Linked DNA regions of Caenorhabditis elegans. The protein of the gene in region 1 purifies or fractionates together with the protein of each later gene. This does not show direct contact. Each region holds a gene or a part of one and is shown in the gene's direction. Other genes may lie near its edges.

Region 1 (9,083 bases):
CAAAAATTACATTTTTAATTTGAAGACGGTACATTTCAGACTTACTAGCAAAGCACAGGGAATACGTTGGCTGAAATAATTACTACAGCTGTTTGCAAGATATGTGAAGAGTTCGAAACTGTTCATACAAAGTTTTGAAAGAATCTACCAATGTATATAAACTCCCTTTTTTTTCTTTGATAGCTTTTTTTAAAAATCTCTAGAAGATTTTGTTTCTAGATCATTTTTTAATAGAAAATTTCATCACTATAAGTTTCCCAATAAACTGTAAGAGGTTTCTGGCGAAGGGGGGGGGGGGGGGGGGGGTGACAAATATACTTCTGGGCGGACTGACAAAAATATATGGTGATTCGCCAAACGTGATTACAAAAAGTTTCAAAAAGCGTTCCAGTTATTTTCCGACTTTGCTTTCAAGTGTGCTTTTAAAAATAATTATTGTAATTTCCAGACCATCTTTTTTTCTTCTTTGCAACTCTGTTCAAATTCCACGTTGTATCCAAAAAGTTTTGAAAGAATCTACCAATGTATATAAACTCCCTTTTTTTTCTTTGATAGCTTTTTTTAAAAATCTCTAGAAGATTTTGTTTCTAGATCATTTTTTAATAGGAAATTTCATCACTATAAGTTTCCCAATAAACTGTAAGAGGTTTCTGGCGAAGGGGGGGGGGGGGGGGGGGTGACAAATATACTTCTGGGCGGACTGACAAAAATATATGGTGATTCGCCAAACGTGATTACAAAAAGTTTCAAAAAGCGTTCCAGTTATTTTCCGACTTTGCTTTCAAGTGTGCTTTTAAAAATAATTATTGTAATTTCCAGACCATCTTTTTTTCTTCTTTGCAACTCTGTTCAAATTCCACGTTGTATCCAAAAAAAATGCATTCAAAAACCGAATTCTCCAAATCTCCCATATAAATATTCATGAATCAAAACTGTATAGCTGCTCGGTTCGTTTTGTTGAAATTTGTTTTTTTTTTTCGAAACTACGAAATACCAGTTTGATTTCTTTTTTCATACAAAAAGTAAAATTTTTCTAATGTCTATCAAGCACTCCGATAAAAATTTCATATGTACTGATAACAACGTGGTGTGGCCATTTCGGAGATTTCCAAGAAATTTAAAATTTGCTGACTCTAAATAGATGATAATTTTTGCAAAAATTTCTTAGCTGTTGTCTGATCGGTCAACAGTGTGTGCAGCAAAGATGGTAATGCGAATTCGAAAAGAAAGTTTATCAAAACTCATTAATTTACCGTACTGCGTAAACGTGTTTGTTGAATTTCCTGATATGATGTAAACAAGTACCTAATTGCTTACTATGAAACAGTACGCCGTAGAAAATTCTAGAAGTTTTGATGTGATATTTCAAAACACATGCTTATAAATAGTGTCCACATGAATATCATATGTTAGTTTTTATACCAGCATGATTTCCACGTTTTGATAATTTAAAGGGCGACTCTTTGCCTAATGAGTAAGCTTATAGAATATGTCCAGAACTCCTAAACCTAGGTGTGACTCCCAATGACTCAAAAAATTTACAGATAATGTTGTACTTTTTATTCGAAACTTTCTAATTGATGTCAGTCAGTTTTACTGCAGTGATATTTTTGAATGAGCGCAGTTGTTCAGCTTCGGTTGGCAACGTTACAGTAAGGTCCTTAGGCCAACTGTAACAAGAGTAGTAGTCAATGTTTTTTTTGGCTAATACGGTTACTCCAAATGTCAATTCAACTGAATTTCAAAAAATATTGAGGAAGTGGTACTATAGAGGTACTGTGAGACTTTTTACAAAATTATCAGTATATCAAAACAATAACTTTGTAACTCGACTTTTTTCTATTAATTTGGATAAACGGATCTAGAAAAGTGAACAAAAATATTGTCAGTTTATGGTTTAGTCTCAACGTCTAGATGAGCTATACATAGTACTTCAGTAATATTACATGGCTAGAATTAGTCTGACAATCTTTATTAGTGACCCTTTTCCAACATTAGAATTCTTTAAAGTTCCCTGTTTTATTGAGAATTTGAAAAACTCACACTTTTTCGCAAGTTTGCATAAAATTTCAAACAGTCCTAACGGAAAAATACAGTAATTTTCAACTGGGAACTAATTTTGAACAGGTGCTAGTTTTTGAATTTCCTCTGTTAACGTAACACAATCTACCTGCACTTCAAATAAAATAAAGTGTAGTAGTATTGCAATGATTAAAGTACAATTGGACTTTTGCACTTGTGGTGTTAAAAAAATTTATCTGGCACACCGTACATAACGGCAGTCTAGAAATTTCGACACCATTTGCGTGACATTAACGTCACATGATCATTGCTCACCTGTTTGGGAAACTACCGCATGCGGAGCAATCGATCCGCCTTTTTCCAATTTGGTACCTTTCCCAGAAAGTGTCCCGCCCATTTACAGAAGCGTTTTTTCTCTGGAATGTTCATTGTTCGTTGCTAATTTAATAAATGTCTTTCAATGCCTCACTATAGGCTCATCTTATCTTTTTTTTTCTTCTTATCACCCAGTTGGCAAACATTCAACTAATATAGTTCGTAACTCCAACACCACCACCCATTACGTTTCTCAATTTAACATTTTAGTATTTTCCATGCCCAAGTTTGAGCTGTCGGCACAGTCGTTATTGAGACAAAGGGAAAGTCCCATGAACTTTTAGAAAGACTCAATGCCGCAAAGAACTTTCACTTTTTTTTTGTCTGTCTTGTATATGTAAATGTTACAAGAACCACAAAAGAAACCATAACTGACCTCCTATTCTTCCCGTGTGCAAGAATTTGATGCGAACACTGCTGATTTTATGACGCGTTGACCTACATACTCTCTCTTTCCTTGCAATACAACGCTTACATTGCAACAGTTTTATCGGTTTTTGTTGTCACTTTTGTTTTGGTGTTTTGCTTGTTTTGCTTGTTTTTTTCTAGTTGTCTTAAACGTCAACGTCAAATGGAGTTAGTTTTCCTAATTTTTCAAAATATTTTTTTGTTCTAACTAAGAGGCTAGTTTTTTCTTGAAGTTTACTATTAGTCAATATATTAACATTGATCAATTTGGTTACAAATAATTTGAGAAATCAATTTTTAATAAGTAGTTGTGACATATGATAGTAGTTTGTTTTGAATTTCAAAAAAAAACCAAAAATGAGCAATTTACATTTTTTCAGAAAACTAAAAACTGTTTTCTTACGAAGTTAAAATTTCCTATGACAGTATGTATACTAAAGTAACGTGAAAGAGCCAAGTTTTAATAGTTCAAAATCAATTCGCTAAAAAAAATTACCTTTTGAGCTCAAAATAAAAAACAGAAGTCTCGAAAAAATAAAGTTGAAAAAAATACTAAAACAACATTTTCAAACGTCACTTAAAAATTAAACAGTAAAATTTCCCCAATCACAATTATCAATCAGATCAATAAAACAAGTTTCCATTATCTTCTCTCTATCTCTTTGTTTTCGACTTGTGACTGTCACTCTCTCAGCGTGGGCGTTGACTGATTCACCAACTGACCGTTACGCATGTGACAATGACAATTCCCCAAATTGCGAAATGACATTTGTCAGACCGTCACGTCATCACTTTCATCCGATTTGTCATGTTGTGTTCGGTCGAGACAACACCCCGAATTGATTGATAAAATAATTGTATTTATATAGGCAATCTTATCACATTTTATCCCATTGCTGACCTTAGATTTCTTGACGTTTCTTCTCCACTTTTTTTTTGACAATTTCTCTTACTCTCTTCGTAGTGACTTAGTGATTCTAAATTTCAATTTTCAGAGAATGCGCTCCCTAAAACGCGAAAACTCAGGTTCCGCCTTATCCGTCAGAAGCTCAGATTCCGAAGGTGATAGTTACCATAACATGGTTAGTTGTTCTTTTTTACAAGTGTACTTAAGTATATCTAAATTTTTTCAGGACATTAAAAAATTAACTAATAAAGTTAAAGAAATTGACATTTCCGCCTTCGACCGCACAAGACTTTTCAACCCAAGAAAGCAAAGATCTTGTCACAAAAGAGCTGAACCAGTGTCAGAAGAGCACCGGAAAAAGGAGAGCAGCAAAAACTCCAGGGAGTATACCAAGAGGAATCGTGATGAAATTGTCACGTGTCAAAAGCTGTTTTCTGAAATCACAGCCATTATGCGGAGGTTCAAACAATTGACCGAGGAGATGTCAGTGGAAACAGTGGAAGTTAAGATTAAATCCATGATCAAAGACTGTCAAGAGATGCTAACAAAGTACACGAATTTGGATTCAAACGACAGATTTAATATTGGAATTCCCGAGGCTGAAGATTTTTTGGCAATTTTCCGCGAGAAAGCGCATGCAACGATGCTTTTCGAGCATCGACCAGAGTCTCCGAATATGTACACCGAAAATCTATTTAAACTACGCGAGCAATATCACAAGCTCACAGACCACAAGGACAATTTGAATTCTTCAAAGGACAAAACCAATTACGCGTCGTCAAAAAGCAGATTAAATCAGAGAATTGTGAGGGAACAGTTGAAAAGTGACTGCTGGGTATGTTGGAAGAGCATTAACACAATGATGGTCCAAGGAGAGCAACTTCAGGAGTACAACAACGAGCTGAAGAAAGATGTAAGTCTAACTTGTTAGGTGTTCGTAAACCGAGGTTTTTCCTGTGCAAAGAACACTATTGTTTACGAGTTGTTATCTTTAGAATGAGTAGAACTTTCTAAAAAATTTGTACTTTCAGATATGGAACAACATCTTAGCTGTCTACCACCAGATTTTCACCATGTTCTGTAAATATCCAGAATATGCAGACAAGGAAAAAATGGAAAGAATTGTGGAATATTTTGCTCCAGTTTCGAGAACACCAGGGCACCTATCTGTTGTCTGGAATCCAATGCCAAATGTTGTCAAGTCTCCACGGTCAGAAGAAATTCCAGAAATCAAAGTCGAATATGAAGAAGTTCCATCGTCATCTACCTTCTTATCTAACAACGAAACAACAATCGCAAGTGACATGGATATGTCGATTGATCGACCGCAAAGTATGGACATGTCGCAAACGCTTTCTCCAGAGCAAACGCTTTCTCCTAGAGAGAAGCTTCAAGTGCAAGATAGAAAGATCTCAACGACTCAAGAAACTCCTCCGGCGCTGCCATCACCATCCGGAACACTCACACTCCCAACAGTTCCAGCTTCGACATTAAAACGTAAAGAATTTGGTGACTTGTTGGCCTGTCCAACCGGCAAACGTGTAACTATTGATGAACCCAATCGAGCAGAGCGCACTGAGACAATTATGCCATCTAGACAAATGATGTACCCAATGGTGAATTACCAAGCACTTCCAATGGTAAGTTTTTTTTGAGAAAATGTTCGTCCATTTCAAAAACTTCTATATTTCAGCCACCACAATCAATTCCATCAATGATTCCCCCATTCATCCCTACGATTCCTTCGACGAGCACAATGCCTCCAATGATGCCGTATCCAAATGTTCTACTCACTGCTGCTCCGGGAGACGTTGCCCCAATCGATTCACTCACCCCATCATTTTTGAGAGCATTAGAGCAGCAAAAACTAATGGCAGCATTTTTAAATCACGCTTTTCAAAAATGTCAGAAGTAATTAAATTATTAAATGAACATTCATTGTTCTAACGCAATCTTAATAAAAACCGTATGCTTTCACAATTAGTTCAGGGTACTGTAGGACTGTCAACTGATAATTTTATAATCAATTTGTTTCTAGGGACTTACTCATTTAAATAATCGATTCATATATTGACTATCAACATTACCGGGCTCAGAAAATTTGAATTTTCTATGTTTTCTTTGTTTTCTACTTTATTGATTCTGTTCTGTTTTCACTTAACTCACATTTGAATTTCACAAATAAAAAGTTCAACAACGGAGTGTTCTTAAGGACACAGTTTATAAAAACGCGTGATTCCCCTCAACACTTTTATCTATTTCTGATGCTACAGTCGTCTTTGGTTTTTGGAGAATTGCCAGCAAGTCTAGAACATGTGGAATGGGGGAATAACTGACTTTTTGAACATGGAGTAGTGCAAAAATTAGCAGTGAAAACTTGCTTACCGTATACTATTTTAAATGAAAACGCATTGAAGAAATTTAAAATATAAATTTTATACGGTCATCGTAATTACAGATTAATGAACGGTGTTTTCTCACTTTTCACAAAAACCTGTTAGTCTTCTATAGGGAGTGGAAGTTTTTTTATTTTCCTCTCAATAGGGAATACCGTATGCTGTGAAAAGAAATATAGAATGAGTGATCCATTTTCTGAACGCTTATCAATTGGAAATTCCGAATTTTAAATAAAATGTTGCTCAATTTACTTTCGAGACAATTATTCTTGAATTAAAACTATATTTTGCGGAATAAAGTTGGCTTTGAAGTTACCTATCTTTGTGAAATTTAATTTTAGATAGGTCAAACTGTTTAATCGGACGAAATAATCACCAATGTATTTTTTACATTTTCCAGTTAGTGACGGTTCAGTAAAGCTCATTTCCACGGGATCGGAAAGTTTCAGAAACAACGCCTTTTTGCAAACATTAGCTTTTAAACATAAGTGTCTCAAAACTAAATTGGGCAGGTTTTTTTTCACAAACGCATCTAGAAAAATATCATTTCATATCTCTGGACACTAAAATTTTTTATCAGACAAGAGAAGGATTTACGGAGAACACTTCACTGCAAAAAATGTGAACTTTTGTTTCATCTCGTTTAATTTTAATCTGAAAATTTCCTGTGTGTTTTGCCATGCGTGTGAGGTCTTTAAAAATACCTTAAAACTGTTTTTTTTATGATTCTAATGGCTTGTGCGGATCAGTAAAATCTGAAAGTATTTTGGAGTTATTTTGGGAAGAGGTTTAGCTCCTGTCCTGAGCAACAAAGGAGATCTTTGACCAAATTACTGCCGTCAACTTTTTTGCCTACCTCTTATTTTCAGTTGCCGTCCTTTCCGCCCTGTCCATAAGACAGTGCCCTCCGCACACCGCGGTAAAATAATTTAATATCGCGCGCTACGCCTCCCGTTTCCTCACACTCTCTCGCTTATCCCATTGCAATTCTAGAAGACTGTTGTTGTTGACAGCGGCGGTGTTTCGCGCATTCTATGGTCCATGCCATTTCACGCGTTTGACAGTGATTTTATTGTCTTTATAACTGCGTTCGGTGAGTGAGAATATGCTTCCGTTCTTGCAAATCATTTTGAAACTTTTTGTTGGGCTCTTGTTCTATAATATTTTGATATGATGCTATTCGAATGTTTTTTTTTGAAGTGCGATTGTTCTTGCCGCATAATTAATTCTTTGTTTTTTACTTCAAATTGTTGACCAACACAACAAACGAATTTCAGTTTTAATATTCAAACTTGGAAAGTGAATAGCAAATGGATCTCTTATCCGTGAGAAATTCTGAACCTGACAATGAAAGTTATCATTTATTGGTTAGTTTGTTTTCTTTAAGCTTCTGAATTGTCAAACTATCATTTTCAGAATATGAAAGGTTTGGCAGAAAAAGTTAAAAAGATCGACATATCTATCTTTGACCGCAGGAGCTTGTTAAAGCGTGTAAAACATAGATCTTGTCATAAAAGAGCCGAGCCAGAGTCCGAAGAAAACCGCAAAAAGAGGTACAGGAAGGACTGCAAAGAGTATAGAGAAAGGAATCGTGAATATGCCACTTTCCAAAAACTATTCTTCAAAATAACAGCGATTGAACGGAGATTCAAGCAATTTATCGAGGAGATGTCCGTGGAAACAGTGGAAGTGAATATTAGATCCATGATCAAAGAGTGTGAAGACATTTGTTCCAAGTACACAAATATCGATGCGCCTCACAAAATTCATTGTGAAATTCCACATGTTGATGATTTTTTGGCATGTTTCCAAGAAAAAGGCCAAGCCGCCATGCTCGTCGACCACCATACAGAGCCTTCCAATTTTTACGCCCAAAATCTGCTTAAACTACGCGAGCAATATCACAAGCTCACAAGCCAAAAGGACAATATGAATTCTTCAAAGGAAAAAACCCGTTATGCATCGTCAAAGCTCGAGTTGAATCGCAGAATTGTACGGGAGCAATTGAAAAGTGATTGCTGGGTATGTTGGCAGAGCATTAATACAATGATGGTCCAAGGAGAACAGCTTCAGGAGTACATCAACGAACGGAAGAAATATGTAAGTTAAAACATGAATTAGGACAACTATGTAGAGCATATGTTGCTAAGTTTTCGCAAAAATTGACCCCAACACTTTATAGCAAATTTTTGGTAAAAGATTAGGTTTTCTACCTTATTTTATTTTCAAAACAATGATAAACTTTTACATTCCTCAAATAAAACTGCAACAGAAGCGTGTTATTTTTTCAGATTTGGAACAAAATCGTAGCAATCCATCACCTGCTTTTCATCACCTTTTCTCAACACGCAGCAGATGCAGACAAGGAAAAAATGAAAAGAATTGTGGTATACTTCGCGCCCGACTCACAAATACCACGTCTACTTTCTGCTGCCTGGATTTCGTTGTTGAAAAGTGCCGATTTTCCTTGGACAGAAGATATTCCAGAAATCGAGTTAGATTGTGAAGACACTTCCTTGTCGTTTTCCTTCTTAACTAACAGAAAAACAACTATCGCAAGTGAGATGGATGCATCGATTGATCGACCGCAAAGTGTGGACATGTTAACAACTTGTTCGCCAGAGTTCAAAGAAAAACTTCAAGTAGAGGATGTGAAGGCTCTCACTACTCATGCAACACCTACCGCCTTGCCGTCTCCATATATCACACTGACACGTCAAACAGTTCCAGCTTCAACTCTAGATCAAAAAGGAACAAATGATACCTTCAACTCTTCAAACAGAAAGCGTGCGGGATTCTCTATTGATGAACTTCTGCGACCAGATTCCACAATAGTAAATTTTTTGAAAAAAAAAACTATCGATTTGGAAAACTCTTTTTTTAGCCCACACAATCAACTCCATCAACAATACCGGCTTTCATTTCTACAACTCCTTTGGCGAGCACAGTGCCTCCAACAATGTCGTTCCCAAGTA
Region 2 (5,337 bases), on another chromosome or scaffold:
CAGATTCATTGGCGAGGAATCTGTAGCCGGAGGTGCGAAAATTGAATGGACTGATGCACCAACATGGATTATTGATCCGATTGATGGAACTACTAACTTTGTTCATAGGTAAGATTTTTTTTAAATCGGACTCTTCAAATAATGGCAAATCGCGTTATTTAATTTCTAATTTGGACTCAAATTTTTCTCGAAAAACAAATTCTTATGTTATTATAGAATCCCTATGATCGCAATCTGCGTTGGACTTGCAATCAAAAAACAAATTCGTGCTGGAATCGTATACAATCCAATCACTAATGAACTTTATCTCGCTCAACTCGGAAAGGGAGCTTTCAAAAATGGATTTCCAATCCGAGCATCAAAGAATCAATGTAAGTAATTGCACTTTTCTTGTCATGCACCCTGCTTTTTGAAGTGCTTTCAAAGGGAGTTCTCTGTCAATCTCTCGGTCTGCATAATCGTGTTCAGTTCGGCGATCGCTGGCTCGACATTGCCCAGTCAAACATGCGAAATCAAGTGATGGCTGGTGTGCGAGGGTTTGTTTTAATTTTTTGGTCTAAAATTGATTACTTTTTTACAAAAAATATACCTCCACACTTCCCGCGCTGGTTTTGCACGTTTTACTTTCAATTTTATTTACATTCACATAGAAACGTTGCAAATTCCAGTCATTGCGGAAAGTGTGCTCATACTTCAACTTGGCTCAATTCGATCTCCTGTTATGCAGAAATCATTTGTTGATTCTTACAAGACTGTTATGTTCGACAAACAATGTCACGGGTACTTATAAATATTTTTTATATTCTTGTCGAAATCTAGTGACTTTCTTGAACTGTGCGTTTGCAAATTTTTTGAAAGTTTTACTAAAATTGAGAAATGGATAAGATGGAAAAGTTAGATGTTGGATGGACAAAGTTTAATATGAAAAAAATCACGAGGATGATGTGATATTATTATTTTTAATATTGTTATACATAATAAAAGTTATTTGAAAAAAATCCAAGTTTTTTTTTCAGACACCGTTCGTTTGGCTCCGCCGCGATCAACATGGTGATGGTTGCACAAGGAAGTTGCGATGGATATGTTGAATACGGGATTCACGCTTGGGATGTTGCTGCTCCTTCTATCATTGTCACAGAAGCCGGAGGTGTTGTCACTGATCCAACTGGATCCCCATTTGACGTCATGTCAAGAAAAGTTCTCTGCGCTGGAACAGCTGAACTCGGACGCGATTTATCTGCATGCCTCACTCATGTCGATTTCGAGCCGGAAGCCTAAATATATATTTAACTATTTATTTTCAAAACTCACATATTGTGACATAACATTCCTACCATAACATGCATTATCTGTATTTCCAATTTAATATTAGTTTTTTGATTTTATTTTCTAGTCGTATGTATTCTCGTTTTATGAGAATAAATTATTTAAAGATGTTTATATCTTAATTTCTGATACTTCAATTGCCGTTTGAGCGCACTTGATTTATTTATACTGTCTCTTTTTTAATAATTAAACTCAATATTCAGCTCTCACAAGCTCAACATCATGGCTTTGGCAGAGGAGGACGTTCACATGATCATCAAGCAGGTACCGATATTTTATATGTCTACTGTATTAATTCTTTGAAAAACTATAATTTTTGAGTTGATTATTGTTTATTCACATTCTCGTAATCCAATAATCTTTCAGGTACTCGACGAGGTTGTAGGCGCAAGCACCCAGTATACCCACAAGGACAGTGTTCAGTGGAATCAGAAGGCCGTCGAACAAATAACGAAGAAGCTAGTGGCAGCGGGAAAACCATACAAATATGTGGTTACCTCGTCGTTCCTTCAGATCTCGAGCGGTTCCGGTCTCAATGTTAGCACGATTTCCTACTGGAATAAAGTCACGGATTGTGAGTTAACATTTTGTATTAAAACATTAAATAATAAAGAGGGAAATAAATTTATTACTCACAAAGTTCTGATTTTGAAAGTTGGTATTCAACTTATAGCTCAAAAAATCTCATTTTCAGCCTCGTACATGTACCGTTGGGAAGCCAAAACAATGCTTGCAATCGTCTATGTTTTTGCAATTGCAATTTAACAATCCACAGCTTCATCTTATATGTCTACTCTGGTTTTCCTCGTTTACCGCCAATTCTCCCCTTATTTCTGATTGTTTTTTTCTTCCCCATTCATCACACACTATCATGTTTTATATTCAGACCTATTACCTGTCCAGAAAAACTGAGCTGAAAAAATCCGGACGAGCAGCTCCTTCACATTCAAAATCTTCCATCATTTCCCCCACTCAATTCATTTGTTTTGTCTTTGATTTTCAAATTTTTTGCCTTATTATTTTATTGCTAAATTAATGAAAACTGTTACTCCTCATTTTGACCGTCGCACTCATTGAAGGTAGTTCGAGATTAGATGTTCAGATAACTTGCGGGACGCGTTAGGACACAAAACAAGTGCGTCAGATCAGCCAAAATGCTTCCACGAATAATTCCATCGGTTCTGTCTGTGGTATTACTTTTTTCGTTTTTATTTTTTGTAACGGCAGTCTTACTTCAATTTATGTAAGTATTGATAGTTAAAAATTATCACCGTTCAAAAATGATTGAAACGATAAATTTCCAGTCGAATCGATTCACCAGATCTTGAAAATGAAGAAGTATTTCATTCGGCACCTTATGATATATTCATTTATTCTGCATTTTATTATAATAAATCAAAAAGTCTCGGAGATTCTTCAATGGTTATTCTGATGACTGCTGATTTTGAAGTTTTGGAAAAAGTTAAAAATCTTGAACTTTTGGGCATAAATGACACGAGTCGAGCTATGACATCTGCTGAATTGGAAAGGTTTGTGTATTTAATTTCTTATTTTTGTGTTGATTCGAAGTTTTTGAGCTTTTCGGCACCAATTAAATAAGATTTGAAAATTCAATGAAAAAATTCAAAAAAAAAACCAAGAAAGGGGCGGAGCTTATTCTGAAATTTTGCAGGATCGGTAATCAACTATTTCCTATGATTAAACCGTTCAAAACTAAAGGCAGAATAATCTAATACCTTGGTTTTTTTTGAAATTTTTGCATAAAAGTTCCATGTACCTAATAGATGTTTTTCAAACCTGGAAACAATTCTGGCTATTTCTGAAAAATACATAAAACAATACAAAGTAGATGGTAAATCGAGAAAATGGAAGAGTGGCCGAGAAAATATGCGAATCTCGGTCATCTACCATCTGCAGATGCATCTGTCGATTTAAGAAAAATTATAAGGCCGTCAGATATCCGAGATTTTTATACAACTCACCAACTTCCTTGTTTGATTCTCCTCCAAAATGAGAACTACAAGACAAATCAGACGGATCTCAAAGTCGCTGATTGGATCAAACGTGGGCGGAGCGATTAATTTATTGGTTTTGCAGTTCTCATTTTGGAGAAAATTCAAACATGAAGATTATCGGGAGTTGGAAATACGAAATTTGAGGCAAATGTAGTTCTGCTAATATTTTCTTTTGAAGGAGCATACTTCTTCAATCTCTCAAACTTCAGAGTAACAATCCATGATGCGTGTAAATGGATTGCAATGACTGCAACTGCAAAAATAGTTCTAAATCCGTCGCTTTTATTGGTTTCTTTAGGTGGAAATCATGCGCCGGTGAGTTTTTGAGCTGTCAGTTACTTTTTGAAAATTGTATAATATCCCATTTTTATCAGATTCCATTCGAAGTTGTTTCTTCGGAACCTAAACCTGTTGTAATGTGCATTTCTCCACTCTTCGCTGCTGAAAATTGGCACAATCTTCTTGTTTCTCTTCATGTATATAAAATATTCGGTGCTCACATGCATCTGTATATTCGGAGCATTGTTTCCCCAATGCTCGAAATTTTGAGAGTTTACGAGCAAGAGGGATATGCAACTTTGAAGCCATGGAATAGGATAAACCTCTTAAATCGAGATGAACAAGATTTTAATCCAAATTTAAATGTTGAGTTTAGAAGTCAAGCTGCTGCACAGACGGATTGTCTTTTGAGATATAAGGTAACGATTGTTTAAAGTTATATAACTTTAAAAATTATTCTTCCTAATAATCTGTCAAAATCAATCAATTAAAAAAACTGTTCATCTACACATAAAGTCGCTTTTTTTGTTTCACAAATCAAAAATATCTGAAAAATAAAGTCGACATTTTTATAAATTTCCAGGAATCTTCTGAATTCGTAGCATTTGTAGATCTAGATGATCTAATTATTCCTCGTGTAGCTGACAATTATGCCAGCGAGTTTCGATACCTAGCTTCTGAACACCCAACAGTTGCATATTTCACGTATTCAAAAGAAAATACAAGAATAAAAGCATGTGAGTTAGTTGCTGGACTATCTTTTACTATTAATATTTCACGGACTGTCAGGTTTCTTTATGTTTAACACTTCAAAAGATTTCAAATTTAACACAATTTTCAGTCAAACTTTTGGTCAATTACCAACTTAAAAATTGGAATTTAAAAACAATTGTTTAAAAAATAGATAATTTTTGCATATTCGAAACTCTACGATCTTGAAAGGGCTGCCAAAAAGACGAGTACCAAAAACGAAAATCACTAAAAATCGATTCAATTGGAAGTCTTTCTATTAATTAATAAACGCAGAACTTTTCAGATAAACGAGCAAATGTTTTTTCGATTGAACATGTTCTTCGAAATATAAAACATGAACAACAAACCGAAACTGGAAAAATGATTGCAATCCCCTCAAAAATCAACAATACGTGGATTCATTGGCCACAGAAAAATCTGAAAAAATTGGCCGTGAAGCCTGAATTCAATTCTATAACCCATCTGAAACATATTGAATTGGTAACATAAAAACAAACCCCTTTTCAGTATATTTTAACAAATCCAGATTGGCGATGCTCCACTCTCAAAGTGTAGTCCTCATTGATAACACATAATTTGATCCAAAGCAATTACCACATAAAGACCCTGCTTCCTTTTTCAGCTAGACGGATTGAAATCCAAAAATGAAGAGGAACCCAAATACAATCCATCAACTGGTCTAGACAATGACAAACCATTGATATCTAATAAGAACATCAAGATGATTGAAAAGGACTTTAACAGGTATCATTGATCAATCCATCAGCTGTTCTGAAAACAAAATTCAGAATGAGCTGGAAGTCATCAGTCAGACGACATCTACGTAATCTTCCTATCAACATGACATACTCAAAATTAATCAGTGATTGTTATAAACAATCATATTATGCTTTCCACTCTGCAAATGAAAATCACGGGATGTTGTGTCCGGGTCCAGAAAGATGCGATGTTGGTTTAATTATGC
Region 3 (5,670 bases), on another chromosome or scaffold:
TATAAAAACATGTATTTAAATACATTAGTGACGTCACAAATGTATTTAAATACATTTTGCTACATTACTTGAATAACCCCATTAATAAATAATAATTGCAAGATATTTTTCCACATTTTATCAGTTTATATCTTGCAATTATTATTCATTAACATTTTACTTCTGAAACTCAATCGACAAAATTTTTAGTGGTTTTTGGTAAAATGACTCTGTGTAACAAATAATTGGTATTTTGCACTGAAAAGTAATGCAGAAAAAATAAAAAATATTTCTAATCATTTTGTTAGTTGAACATTTGTTTCCTGGATGTTTATTTTTCAAGATACGCCAGTTTGAAGATACGCAATTTCGTGAGTTCAAGAAGTTATTTGGTAAACCGAGCCTGGGCTTGCAACTTTTGCTGGCAAGTATTATTTTAATGAGAATTTAGAATGTTGTATTGCCTAACTATTGAATTGTAGAAAATTATAGTATACTTCTACAACGGTTCAATAAAACAATAGTGATGTACTGTGGGCACACTCAGAAAAACGCTTAGTAGTCTAATTAGATTTCGACCATATTGGATTAGATTTGTTTTCTAATGAAATATGGAGGAAATCTAATCTAGCATGGATTTCTAATCTAATATGGAGCAAATATAATGCAATATGGATTTTCTAAACAAATATGGTTGAAATCTCGTTGAATACGGTTGAAATCTAATTAGACGACTAAGCGTTTGTCTGAGCAGGTGTCACAGTGGATTTGTAGTCCAAATGACTGTCTGTAAAAACAACATTATTTTTGAGCTTCAAAACTAACTTGCAAGTAGGTCAAAACGTTCAGACTGAGCCAGTCTTACTCCACCCCCACTACCATCCTCACAAGTGAACGAATTCCGTCAAATAGGTATAACTTATTCATTTGTGCATTGAACATTTGCTGCAGCAATGCAAGTTCTTGATGATATAACTGCTGAACTAGCGAATCTAGATTATCTTCGTCAACGTTCCATCCGTGAAATACAAAATACATTGCGAAAACAAGAAGACATGGAATTAGATAAAGCTGCTGAAGTCATAGTAAATTATCAAGATCCAAGAGCACACTATATTTTAATAGTTCAGAAATAACTTAGGTTTCCATTTCACTTTTTTTCTGGAAATATCCTTTATTAACCAGACACGAGGTTTTAGGGTTTTTGAGCCAACCCCGGTCTTGACACGACAGATTTTTGTACAATACGAACAGGCGTGCGCCTTTAATGAGTACTGTAGGTTCAAACTTTCGGAAATTTCATTTATTTTTCATAGTTTTTTGATTAATTGTTTTTTAGCTAATCGAATAAACAAAAAAAAACGATTGTTGTAAGACGAGGAAAAGTTCAATGTTCTCACAAGTGAAAGAGCTCCGTCAACTAGGTATAACTTATTCATTTGTACATTGAACATTTTGCAATTTCTAACGAAAAATACAGGGCCTAAAATTAGAAACTATTTTGATCAAAAGAAAGTTCATGGAAAAGCTCAGTTATTGTCCATTGAACCCAACGTGTACTCAATATCATCAAAAGAAACATCTTTACCAAAAAGCGATCTATGTCATCATTTCTGACTGGCCATCTGCTTTTTCTTCGTCTACCACTGCTGGCAGAATGATGATAAAGCATGTCGTGTCTATATGCCTGCGTCTAACATTGTATGTTTTCTTTTCTACTTGTCTTCTTCATCGATTCCCTCTGCGTCTCTTTCCTCTTTCTGATGTAATCGCAAAATTTACAGGAATCACATTTTGATTCCGCCCCGATTTGTATATAAATTGACTGTGAAACATACGTTTTTACATTGTTTACTAATTTTTTAATTCCTTTATAAACTCAAAACCTTTTTCAATCCGATATAATTTCAGGTGAAACATGGCTTATTTGGAGCGTGCCTATTTTGGTCTTCAGTGCTTCTGGGGAGAATCTGCATGGGCGAAGCTGAAAGGAGTTGTGGTGACACGAGTTGGATATGCTGGAGGAAAACAACCAAATCCTACTTATAAGAATATCAAGGATCATACTGAAATCACAGAGATCACTTTTGATCCAAAAGTTATTGAATACTCAAAGCTCACCAACTTCTTTTGGAAGCATCACAACCCAGCTGAAAGGAGAAAGAAGGTAATTTTCGAATTGACTTTAAAGTTTCAAATATTGTTCTACTGGAAAACGTAACAAAAAGTAAGTTCTAATTGATTATAATTTTTTAGGTTAAAATACATTTAAACTTCAAATTAATTCGTTTCAATTTCAGCAATACCAATCTGCGATTCTCTACGTAAATGACGACCAAAAGAAAGTCGCTGAAGAAACTTTGAAAGTAGCAAAGGACAAGCATGGAGACATTGAAACATATATTGAGCCATTGGACAAGTTCTATCAAGCTGAAGATTACCATCAAAAATATTGGTTCCGTCAAAAGAAGATTCTTTTCGATGAACTGTCTCTTCTTGATACTCAAGTTGCTGAAGGAGAACTTGCCACAAAATTGAACGCATATTGTGCTGGCTTCCAGGACTTCCACGATCTTGAGCGTCTTGCAAAAGAGTACGGATTAAAGGATTCTTTTGTCAATAAGGTGAAGGACTATGCTCTGTCAGGAGGAGATCCAAGAAACTGTCATGCTTAAATTATATGAATGTACAATCGAACTTTTATCAGGTTTTCAATGAATTTTATTTTATCACAGATTCTTGTGTTTGTTTGTTTAACAAAGGAAGATATTTGAATATTATACTGCACTTTCAGATTGGTATTTAGATTCCAACTTTGTGCGAATATTGTTGCATATCATATTAAATGGATTTGAAGAGTTGTTGTCATCATAAAGCACATTGCTCAAAATTGCGTAGGCTGTAACTTGAACATATATGAAACGTTGAATAATTCTGAAAATCTCACCATTATTACCATACAAGGCTTTGAGCCCAATTTCACTGTTAGCTAAAGTACCAATACATACAGCAGCTTTGTACCGTATCCTTCTACAGTAATCCGCATGGATTGGATGGGTAAGGGATAAAAATTCAAGAAGCACTGGAATTGCATTTTGATCAACCATTTGATGATCTAAATGACGGGCGGCAAGGCGAGAAAAGGCTGTAACAATTTGTTCCTGGACGAAGACAGTGGCACAATTTTCTCGATTATAAGCAGATATCAGACGACGAATTGAATTATTTCTGAAAATATTTACATTTACATGTTGCAAAAAACTTTTCAAAATCCCAAAATAGAGAGCGATCCTATAAATTTTCAGATTTTTTTTTAAATTCGAGACTGTTTTCAGTTTTATCTGGTAGGCTGGTTTACCGTTTTGTAGTTTCTAGGTAACTTGTAGCAATTGCTACAAAAGTTAGAACAAGGAATTCGCCTTGAAATTTTGCATTCATTTTCTACAATTACGTGCTATAGCTCAATTTAATGTTGGTTCAAATTTAATTTTGTACTGAGCTTTTGCGAAAATAGTTAAATGCTTAAAATTCAACAAACCTGTACATAATATCAACTCCATTTGGGTTCTGAAGTGTCACATTGTTCAATGCAGCGGTTGCCAAAAGCAAAGAGTCACCTGATTTACATTGATCTATTAGATCTGAAATTAATTATTTAGTCTCCAATTTTTATATTTAAATTGGTTACCCAAAAGTCTGGATATAATTGGTTCCACATGATTTAACCGAATGAATGCAGACTGAGGATTGGTAAGTTGTGTCAGAATACCAGCTGCCTCGACGGAACAGATTGATGAGGAAATGGATAAAAGTCTATCAATAACCAAATCCAAGCCTCCTTGCTGAAATTAATCAATTTGTATTGATTGAATTTGTATTGAATTTGTATTGAAAAGTATTGATTATAAAATATATCTAATTACCGTGAGCAAAGCAAGTGCTCCTTTTGAAACTCCACATAACACTGCCAATGTTCGAAGTAAAAATCTAAGAGTGTTCTCCTGTGGTTGATCATTCTTCATAATTCGAATAACTGATGAGATGCATCCTTTTTGAATTGCTTCAATACAAAGTTCATCTCCAAATAAACAAATATGAATAAGATGCTCTAAACAAATAGGTGTCAGACGATCTTTTCCATTACTTTCACATAGATTCTTGGATATTATCTGAAATTAAATATTTGAATGAATTGAATAGTTAAACTAAAAGTAACTTACCCTCACAAACACCAAAAGTACTGATTCTATAGACTTTCTGAGAAGAATCGCAAAAAAGTTTGTCATATTATTCATGTCAATTATTCCTTTATCTCGATTTCTGGAAAAACGTAAGGTAACATTTAATTTGTTTCAATAATAGATTTACTTTTGTAACTCTTGAACATTCATTTTTAATCGAGCCATTTCAGTCTTTGGAAGATAATTTGTACATGGAGATGATTCAAGCAGTTGGATGAACACAGAAGACTTAAATATTAACTTTTGTAACTTAATTCAGTATGCACAAAATACCTTTGCCAACAAATCTCTGCAAGTTGCTGGATCCAGAGCTGAAGAAAGAAGAGTATACAAAGCAGATGATGTTCTGAGAACATGATCCATTGTACCTGAATTTTCTCTTTAAAAATTCAATTTCCAAATAATGACTACTGACTAGCCATTCTCGCATAGCTTGGCATCCCTGTATCATCATCATCTTTACTTTCTTGTCGAGTTGAACAATTTGATCTTCGTTCGATTTGATCTCCGGAACATTGTCCAGAGTCGACACTTGTGATGCTATCCGAACGAGTACTGTATGGAGATCGGAGAATTGTATTTGCGCTGTCAGTGCTCATGTCTATTCTGTAATTGCAAAATTATTTTATCTTTAATGTTAAAAATAATTATTTAGTACCTGTTCATTGCCTGTTGAACATGTGCTCCATTAACAGTTATTGTGTTTGCTCTTGAAGAAGTTGGAACTGGTGGGGCCGGAGACAAAATTCCATTTCTTTGTGGTTGCACACTAGCTGAAAAAATTCAATTTTTCCAGCAAAAGATAACGAAATAAAAATTACTCACATTTCATAGAATTCCGTCGCAAAACCTGAAACTGTTCATACGACGGAGGCGCTGTTTTAGGAGTTGGTGTTCGACAACCAGATGGAGAGTTGCTCTTTTGGCTCAGAGCTCGTGAAATGTTTCCTCGGAAGCCGGGCAACTTGATCTGAATGGTTCAACATGTGTTGCCAATCAACGAAGCAATTAAGATAAAATTTAAGGGGTGGTGAAGGGATAGAAAACGAGAAAAAACGAAGGAATAAAAGAAAGTGAACTCACATTTCGAATTATTGCATCCTCGGTGTCCGTTGGGCAAGACTCTATAAAAACTCGAGTTTGAGAAACAGGACGGAAATGTTCAAAACTTGAAAGCATTTTTATGCCGCAAGTTTTCCCAGTGCTCTAGGGAAAGTTTAAGGAAAAGAGAGTTCATAAAATTTATGTTGGGAGTCAACTTTTTGTTTCTTGATTCCTTTTTTTAAGTTGCATTGTTTTCTATCTAGTCCAGATGAATTCAAGAAAAAATCGTTAAAATTGTATTGCGCAAAAATTGAAAAAATGATACTGCCTAAAATCCAGAATAATTTCATTTTTGCAAGGTATCAAGTTTCTTTCTTTCTGAAAAATTTAAGGGCATTTGACGTGT

What was found. Proteins that work in one complex are often made in the same cells at the same time.
Region 2: the proteins of cnp-3 (region 1) and dylt-1 fractionate together in Caenorhabditis elegans (co-fractionation; one large-scale study listed by BioGRID). This does not show direct contact.
Region 3: the proteins of cnp-3 (region 1) and msra-1 fractionate together in Caenorhabditis elegans (co-fractionation; one large-scale study listed by BioGRID). This does not show direct contact.

The regions. Positions count from the first base shown.
Region 1 is NC_003284.9:17,132,828-17,141,910, reverse strand, and holds cnp-3 (Calcineurin-interacting protein 3), read left to right. Parts: upstream 1-3,800; 5' UTR 3,801-3,803; coding exon 3,804-3,887; intron 3,888-3,938; coding exon 3,939-4,625; intron 4,626-4,743; coding exon 4,744-5,352; intron 5,353-5,405; coding exon 5,406-5,627; 3' UTR 5,628-5,911; downstream 5,912-9,083. Other genes in the region: K09E3.7 (BZIP domain-containing protein), read left to right, coding at 7,419-7,475, 7,525-8,208, 8,400-8,942, 8,993-9,083.
Region 2 is NC_003279.8:7,297,106-7,302,442, reverse strand, and holds dylt-1 (DYnein Light chain (Tctex type)), read left to right. Parts: upstream 1-1,529; 5' UTR 1,530-1,548; coding exon 1,549-1,590; intron 1,591-1,692; coding exon 1,693-1,900; intron 1,901-2,020; coding exon 2,021-2,091; 3' UTR 2,092-2,378; downstream 2,379-5,337. Other genes in the region: Inositol monophosphatase ttx-7, read left to right, coding at 4-108, 217-371, 416-536, 1,017-1,278; BAH-4 (Glycosyltransferase family 92 protein F13G3.3), read left to right, coding at 2,481-2,569, 2,631-2,855, 3,551-3,656, 3,716-4,039, 4,204-4,357, 4,657-4,853, 4,996-5,117, 5,162-5,321.
Region 3 is NC_003280.10:7,360,261-7,365,930, reverse strand, and holds msra-1 (peptide-methionine (S)-S-oxide reductase), read left to right. Parts: upstream 1-1,890; 5' UTR 1,891-1,897; coding exon 1,898-2,146; intron 2,147-2,279; coding exon 2,280-2,654; 3' UTR 2,655-2,711; downstream 2,712-5,670. Other genes in the region: insc-1 (Protein inscuteable homologue C-terminal domain-containing protein), read right to left, coding at 2,757-2,878, 2,927-3,207, 3,518-3,620, 3,668-3,821, 3,903-4,148, 4,200-4,299, 4,348-4,448, 4,494-4,588 and 4 more.